2 linked regions of the Oryctolagus cuniculus genome follow. The protein of the gene in region 2 interacts with the protein of the main gene of each other region in a pairwise test. Links are inferred from orthologs where the notes say so. Each region holds a gene or a part of one and is shown on either strand. Other genes may lie near its edges.

Region 1 (3,745 bases), on a different chromosome or scaffold from region 2:
CCTGTCTCTCTCTCTTTTTCACTGTCCACTCTGCCTGTCAAAAAAAAAAAAAAAAAAAAAAGTCATGGAATGCCAAGAATTGCCAGCAACCCCAGAAACTGGAATAGGGGCATGGAACACATTCTCCCTCAGAGCCTTCATGAGGAATCAACACTTTTTATTTCAGACTTAGCCTTCAGGTCTATGAGGAAATATGTTTGCTTTTAAAAAACAATTTATTTGTTTGAAAGGCAGAGTTAGAGAGGGCAGGGAGAAACAGAATCTCAAAGTGCCCTCAACAGCTGGCAGAAGGCCAGGCCAAAGTCAATACCAGGAACTCTATCCAGGTCTCCCACATGGGTGGCAGGGGCCCAAGTACTTGGCCAGCATCCACTGGCTCCCCAGCACATTCCCAGGAAGCTGGATCGGCAGTATCAAGTAGCTGAGACTCCAACTATCACTCCAATATGGGATGCAGGCATCTCTTGCAGTTTAAATTGCTGAGCCACATGTCTTCCTCAAATTTCTGTTGGTTTAAACCACAGTTTGTGACACCTGCTTATGGCAACCATAGGAAGCTAATACACAAAGAAACTATGCAAATATCCCATTTCTGCTTAAACTTTACTTTTTTTTTTTTAAAGTACTAATTTGAAAGGCAGAGCAACAGAGGGAGAGACAGAGATCTTCTGTCAGCTGGTTCACTCTCCAAATGGCTGTAACAGTCAGCTTTGGGCCAGGCGGAAGCCAGGAGCCAGGAACCCCATTTGGTCTCCCACATGGATGGCAGGGACCCAATACTTGAGCCACTCTCCACTGCCTTCCCAGGCACATAACAGGAGCTGGATGGGAAGTGGAGCAGCCAGGAATGGAAGTGGTGCACCAATATTGGATGATGTCATTCCAAGTGGAGGCTTAGCCCACAATGCCACAACACCAGCCCTTGGGCTTCAAGTTTAGTCCACTGGTTTTAGCATCTATTGCTGGATCTTGCCGAATCTCTTTTGCCACGTAGAACTGTTATTGGACCACCAACATTTGTGCTGCACCACTTCCTCAAAGGGTGCTTTATTGTTTCTAGGGTTTTATTTCAAGCTGTGAAAAGCCATTGAAGTAGGCAAAATTTCTCCAATGGCCACCAGATTCCCACTGCCTGGTATAGATGCTGTTTCAATCCCTCTTGAACATGGGTGGGACCTATGAATATAAGAAAACATCACTCTTTTAAAGTAAAGGAATCACTACAGATATAATTAAGATCTCTAGTTGTCTTAGTCAAGATTATTCTGGCTAGGCCTGACTCAATCAGGTGTGTTCGCAAAAGAGAGAAAAAAGGTGGAAGACAAGAGAATTCACACAGATGGTCTCTGTTGGTCTTGGAGACAGTCTTTGTGAGTTCCACAGGCACAAGAAAATGAGTTTTTTCGGGGCCGGCGTCGTGGCTCATTTGGTTAATCCTCCGCCTGCAGTGCTGGCATCTCATATTGGTGCCAGGTTCTAGTCCCAGTTGCTCCTCTTCCAGTCCAGCTCTCTGCTGTGGCCCAGAAGGGCAGTGGAGGATGGCCCAAGTGCTTGGGCCCCTGTACCTGTGTGGGAGACCAGGAAGAAGCACCTGGCTCCTGGCTTCGGACTGGCGTAGCTCTGGCCATAGCAGCCATTTGGGGGATGAACCAACAGAGGAAAGACCTTTCTCTTGGTCTCTCTCTCTCTAACTCTATCTGTCAAATAAATTAATTAAAAAAAAAATCAGGTGGACTGAGTTGTCCTACTTGAAAAAAAAAAGAAAATGAGTTTTTCAATATTCATGAGTTTTGAAGGGGGCTCAGAGCCTCAGAAAAGATGAAAGCCTTGTCCAACACCTTGATTTCAGCCCTGTGAGGCTGACAGAACTCATTTGATCCCTGTAGGGACTTCCAGCCTACAGAACTGTGAGATAATAAATGGATGAGTGTTGTTCTAAACTGCTAAACTTGTACTAACTTGTTAGATGGTAGTAAAAATGAACATGGCCATACTCCAAATTTTTATATTGGCACTCTCCTGATCATATAAGTTTTTCATGAAAAATGCACAGAAACAGCCAAAACCTGGATTCCTTTTTCAAACGCTCCTTAGTTTGTTGACTGAGATTGCCTTTGTCCAGTCATACCCCAGGAATGCAAACCAAGTTTGCTTATGCTCACAATTAACCACATCACAATCTCAGACATTCCAACTTGAGTGATGTTAAAAAATGAAATAAAAGGCCGGCGCCGCGGCTCACTAGGCTAATCCTCCACCTGTGGCACCGGCACACCGGTTTCTAGTCCCGGTCGGGGCGCCGGATTCTGTCCCCGTTGCCCCTCTTCCAGGCCAGCTCTCTGCTATGGCCCGGGAGTGCAGTGGAGGATGGCCCAAGTCCTTGGGCCTTGCACCCGCATGGGAGACCAGGAGAAGCACCTCCTCCTGGCTTCGGATCAGCGCAATGCGCCGGCCGCAGCGCACTGGCCACAGCGGCCATTGGAGGGTGAACCAACGGCAAAAAGGAAGACCTTTTTCCTGTCTCTCTCTCTCTCACTATCCACTCTGTCAAATAAATAAATAAATAAATAAATAAAAACATTTCTAGGATAACATACAGAAACTCAACCATTAATTCCACAGATATTTTCAGGCTCCCTGAACTGCTGAGTGAAGTTATTTGAAGCTCTGAAAATTCTGCCTCCTTTAGCAGGTTTTGGAGAGTGATAAAAGAAAAGGCATCATCCACATTCCACTATGAATAACAGTAGATAAAACTCATCAGTTCATTCTGAAAGTTGCCATCAGACTTTCCAGCGAAATAGGAAACATGACAGCTTATAAACATGTGTAACACAGATGAAGTAGGTCAATTAGTTGTCATATTAGTGTATGACACAGATAGGTATGTATGTAGTACAGATGAAGTGGGTGAACAATTAAAAATTAGTTGTCATACAGTAGCAAGAATTTTCTATTTATTTTATTATTTTTTTTTGACAGGCAGAGTGGACAGTGAAAGAGAGAGACAGAGAGAAAGGTCTTCTTTTGCTGTTAGTTCACCCTCCAATGGCCGCTGCGGCTGGCGCGCTGCGGCCGGCGCACCGCGCTGATCCGATGGCAGGAGCCAGGTGCTTCTCCTGGTCTCCCATGGGGTGCAGGGCCCAAGGACTTGGGCCATCCTCCACTGCACTCCCGGGCCACAGCAGAGATCTGGCCTGGAAGAGGGGCAACCGGGACAGAATCCAGCGCCCCAACCTGGACTAGAACCCATTGTGCCGGCACTGCTAGGTGGAGGATTAGCCTAGGGAGCCACGGCGCCAGCCAAAAATTAGTTGTCATATAGTAGCAAGAATTTTCAAAAATGTCATTACCTATGTATCTGAGCAATGAATTTTATAATCACACAATGAAATATATACTGGTGAAAATGAATGAATGATGGTTGTCTACAACAAAAATGTATGAATCTTAAAATTGAATGAAAAAAATCATATTCCTATACTACAAAAAAACACACCATTTTTATAAAGTTCAAAAAGGAACAAAACTAAAAAAGAAAAGTCACTTTAGGGATAAATATTCTAGGCCTTTTTACATGTGATAAAACTACTAAAGGGAGCAGGGGGTGGAGAAAGATAGGAGGGGCTCAAATAGATGAAAGCAAAGCACTGGTAGTATTCCAATTCTTTTTTTTTTTTTTAAGATTTATTTATTTATTTGAAAGGCAGTTACAGAGAGAAGGAGAAACAGAGAGAAAGAATCT
Region 2 (3,745 bases):
GGGGTGACCAGCAAAGGCATGGACGGGCCATGGGTCACTGGGGAGCTGTGACCCCGGGAGTGGCCGCGGGTCACTGGGGAGCTGAGACCCGGGAATGGCCGTGGTCACTGGGGAGCTGAGACCCGGGAATGGCCGTGGTCACTGGGGAGCTGAGACCCGGGTCACTGGGGAGCTGAGACCCGGAGTGGCCGCGGTCACTGGGGAGCTGAGACCCGGGAATGGCCGTGGTCACTGGGGAGCTGAGACCCGGGTCACTGGGGAGCTGAGACCCGGGAGTGGCCGCAGTCACTGGGGAGCTGAGGCCCGGGAGTGGCCGCGGGGAAGGACGGGACCAGGGCAGGGCAGAGGCCGGGGCCCGCGCTCACCTCCTGCTCCGAGTCTGTGCCCGACAGCTTCTTGTCTTTGCCTTTGCTCCCCACGCCTCCGTTCTTGCGGCCGCCGCTGCCCGGCTTCCGGCCCCTTGGGGGAGGCACGGTCCGTGTGCCCAGAGGTCCCCCGCCGCCGCCCGCCGCCGCCCGCCGCCGCCCGCCCCCGCGGCCCCGGCCCGCACCTGCGAGGCGCCTTGTCCGCATCCATGTGGTTGTCGTCCCCGTCGCCCTGCATGTCGGGGACCGACGCCACCAGGTCCTTGAGGAAGTCAAACTGTTGCTCCTGCTCGATGCACTGCTTCCTGCGGGAGGCGGCGGACCGGGGGTGACGCCGCGGCCGGGCCGCCCCCCGCAGCCGCCCGCCGCCCTCCCCCGGCGCCGGGGCCACGCACAGGTGCGACGTGGTCATGGTCTTGGCGTTGCGGGACTGGGTCACCTGGCACGCTTTCTTCAACAGCGACTCGAGGAACAGCTCGAGCGCCCGGGCTGGGGGGCGTCAAGGAGCACGCGGGCGCCGGGCGGCCGCCCCCCGCCCGCACACGCCCCCCGCCCGGCGCCCCCAAGGATACAGATGATGACCGGCACGGCCGCCGCCACCTTCCCGATCTCCTCGTCCGTCTGCATGATCTTCTTGATGCGCGCCTGCGGGGCGGACAGCGCTCGGACCCCCTCCGCCCGCTGCGGCGGGTGGGGGTCCCGGGAGAAAGGGGGCGGGGCGCCAAGCCCCCACCACCACCACGAGCACCGCGATGCGCCCGCCCCCCACACCCCCGCGGCGGGGCCCGGACCCTGAGCCTCCGCCGCGCCGGGCCCCGCCACGTGCTCACCGGCGGGAACCGCGCGTTGTACTTCTTCTTCTTGCTCGGCATCTCCGGGCCTCTCTCGCCGCGCCGGGCCCCGCGCCGCCGCCCGCAGCCTCCGGGCGCCCGGGCCTGCTCGCCGCCGGCCCGCCGCGGTTCCCCCGGGTCCTGGCGCCGCCGCTCCCCGGCAGGGTCCTAGCGCCGCCCGCTCAACGCCGCTCGCTGCGCCCAAGCGCCCGCCCCCCTGGCGTCTCCCAGGCGTCTCCCGTCTCCGCCGCTCCCGCCCGCCCCAAGGCCCCAGCTGCGAACGTTAGCCCCGCCCCCGCAGGCCCGCCCCGCCCCGGGGTCGGCCCCGCCCCCGCAGCGCCGGCCCCGCCCCGCAGCGCGGCGGATGCGGCGCGGCGGCCCCGCCCCTGTGGCCGCGCTTGTCTATAAAGTTGTTGTTGAGACGGCGGGGCGCTAAGATGGCGGCGGCGGCGGCCGTGGCGGGGGCGGGGCGCGGCGGCGGCGCGGAGCCCCGGCAGGAGCGGAACCGGACCCGGAGCTGGGCCGGCGCGGAACGCAGCGAAGGCCGGAGGTGACTGCGGGGCGGCGAGCGGGGCGGGCCCGGGGCAGAGCCCCGACTCGGGCGGTGGGCGCGTCGGCCCCTCCGGCTGGCCGGACAGGCCCGGGTTCGAGTCCTAGCACTGCCCCGTTCGTCTCCGACCGGTCACTGCCGTCTGGGGGCCTCGAGGTCCTCGCCTCGAAGTGGGCCCGGTAACGCCCCCAGGGAGGCCCGGCCTTCCAGGGCCCGCCGCGGGGGCTGCGTGAACCTCCTCTTCCCTGCCTCTCCCTCCACGCCCGGCCCCGCTGGCCGGGGGTAGCTGAGGCCGGAGCTCCCGCACCTGCGTTCCTGCGTGGGCCCTGCCCCTTGCCCTGCAACCGGTGTGCTGCGGGAGCGCCAAGGGGAGTAGTAGCGCCCCCGGCACCGAGGCTCAGGTAGGCGTTCTCCACCTGGGGCATCTGATTGTCCCAGCAGAGCCAGCAGCTGTCCCATTGTAGAGACGAGGCAACCGAGGCCGGCCACACGGTTTAGCGCGGCGCTGCTCTGACGGGGTTCCCTCCCGGCAGGATGGAGCCAGGTGAGGAGCTGGAGGAGGAGGACTCTCCCGGCGGCCGGGAGGACGGCTTCACCGCGGAGCACCTGGCTGCTGAGGCCATGGCCGCCGACATGGACCCCTGGCTGGTGTTCGATGCCCGCACCGCGCCTGCGGCCGAGCTGGATGCCTGGCTGGCCAAGTACCCGCCGTCGCAAGTCACCCGCTACGGGGACCCCGGGTCGCCCAACGCCGAGCCCGTGGGCTGGATCGCCGTGTACGGGCAGGGCTACACCCCCAACTCCGGCGACGTGCAGGGGCTGCAGGCGGCCTGGGAGGCTCTGCAGAGCAGCGGCCGGCCTGTCACGCCGGGCACCCTGCGCCAGCTCGCCATCGCCCACCGCGTGCTGTCGGGGAAGTGGCTGATGCACCTGAGCCCTGGCTTCAAGCTGGACCACGCCTGGGCCGGCGTCGCCCGGGCCGTCGTGGAGGGCCGGCTGCAGGTGGCGAAGGTGAGCCCGCGCGCCAAGGAGGGGGGGCGCCAGGTGATCTGCGTCTACACGGACGACTTCACGGACCGCTTGGGCGTCCTGGAGGCGGATTCGGCCATCCGCGCGGCGGGCATCAAGTGCCTGCTCACCTACAAGCCCGATGTGTACACCTACCTGGGCATCTACCGCGCCAACCGCTGGCACCTGTGCCCCACGCTCTACGAGAGCCGCTTCCAGCTCGGGGGCGGGGCCCGCGGCTCCCGCGTGCTGGACCGCGCCAACAACGTGGAGCTGACCTAGCGGGGTGACCACGCCCTGGCCTCCCCCGCCCGGGCGGCCCGGCCTCGTCCTCCTTGTCCCGAGAAAGCCACGCCCCCAGCTCTGAGGACAAGGTCGCCCAACAACCGCCTGCATCTCCGGTCCCCTTGGACTTGTGCCCTGGCTGCCGCCGGCCCCCAGGGGGCGGGCCTGGGCCTCCCTCTTCCTCGCAGCTCCGCCCTGCAGCCCAGGGCCACGGGGTGGGTGCAGACACCCAAGAAGAGAGCCCCGCCGCACCTCCCCTCCGCCTGCACTCGCCAGCTCTCCTTCCCCCCTCTCACGGGGAACACAGTGCTTCCAGTCCCGCCCCGTGGAGCCTCTAGTGCGGGGGCCAGGGCCCGCAGGCGTGAGCGTGCCATTTAGCCAGGAGGGTCCTTGCGCCCACATCCCCGGGCAGAGAGGGGATGTGCACCACGGACACGGCCCGCCCCCTCTGCCACCTCCCTCTCTTCCCAGCTACCAGACACGTGCCTGCTCCTGGCATCTCAATAAAACCCAGCCTGGGTCTGTGTCCTGAGTGTTTTTCCAAAACCTGGGTGGTTACCTGCTGTGGTTGCTGGGAGCGGCGGGGCCAGGACACACACACCCCCCACCCGCACATACCCAGCTGGCCGCCTTCCCGCCCGCCCCCTCCTGCACCCCGTTGACGCGGTAGGCCTTGGTGCCGGGCCCTGGCTCCCCCGGGAGCCCCA

Evidence for each region. The genes of interacting proteins can lie anywhere in the genome.
Region 1: the proteins of C1H11orf68 (region 2) and CSDE1 interact in a two-hybrid assay, tested with the Homo sapiens proteins (2 studies listed by BioGRID and IntAct). The link is inferred for Oryctolagus cuniculus from reciprocal best matches to the Homo sapiens genes C11orf68 and CSDE1.

What each region holds. Positions count from the first base shown.
Region 1 is NC_091438.1:55,577,261-55,581,005, reverse strand, and holds the start of CSDE1 (cold shock domain-containing protein E1), read right to left. Parts: upstream 2,574-3,745; 5' UTR 1-2,573. UniProt on the Homo sapiens protein: RNA-binding protein involved in translationally coupled mRNA turnover.
Region 2 is NC_091432.1:5,855,921-5,859,665, forward strand, and holds C1H11orf68 (UPF0696 protein C11orf68 homolog), read left to right. Parts: upstream 1-1,554; 5' UTR 1,555-1,632; coding exon 1,633-1,745; intron 1,746-2,186; exon of another isoform or gene 2,187-2,278; coding exon 2,279-3,035; 3' UTR 3,036-3,562; downstream 3,563-3,745. Other genes in the region: DRAP1 (dr1-associated corepressor), read right to left, coding at 366-459, 551-670, 761-854, 938-1,010, 1,196-1,237.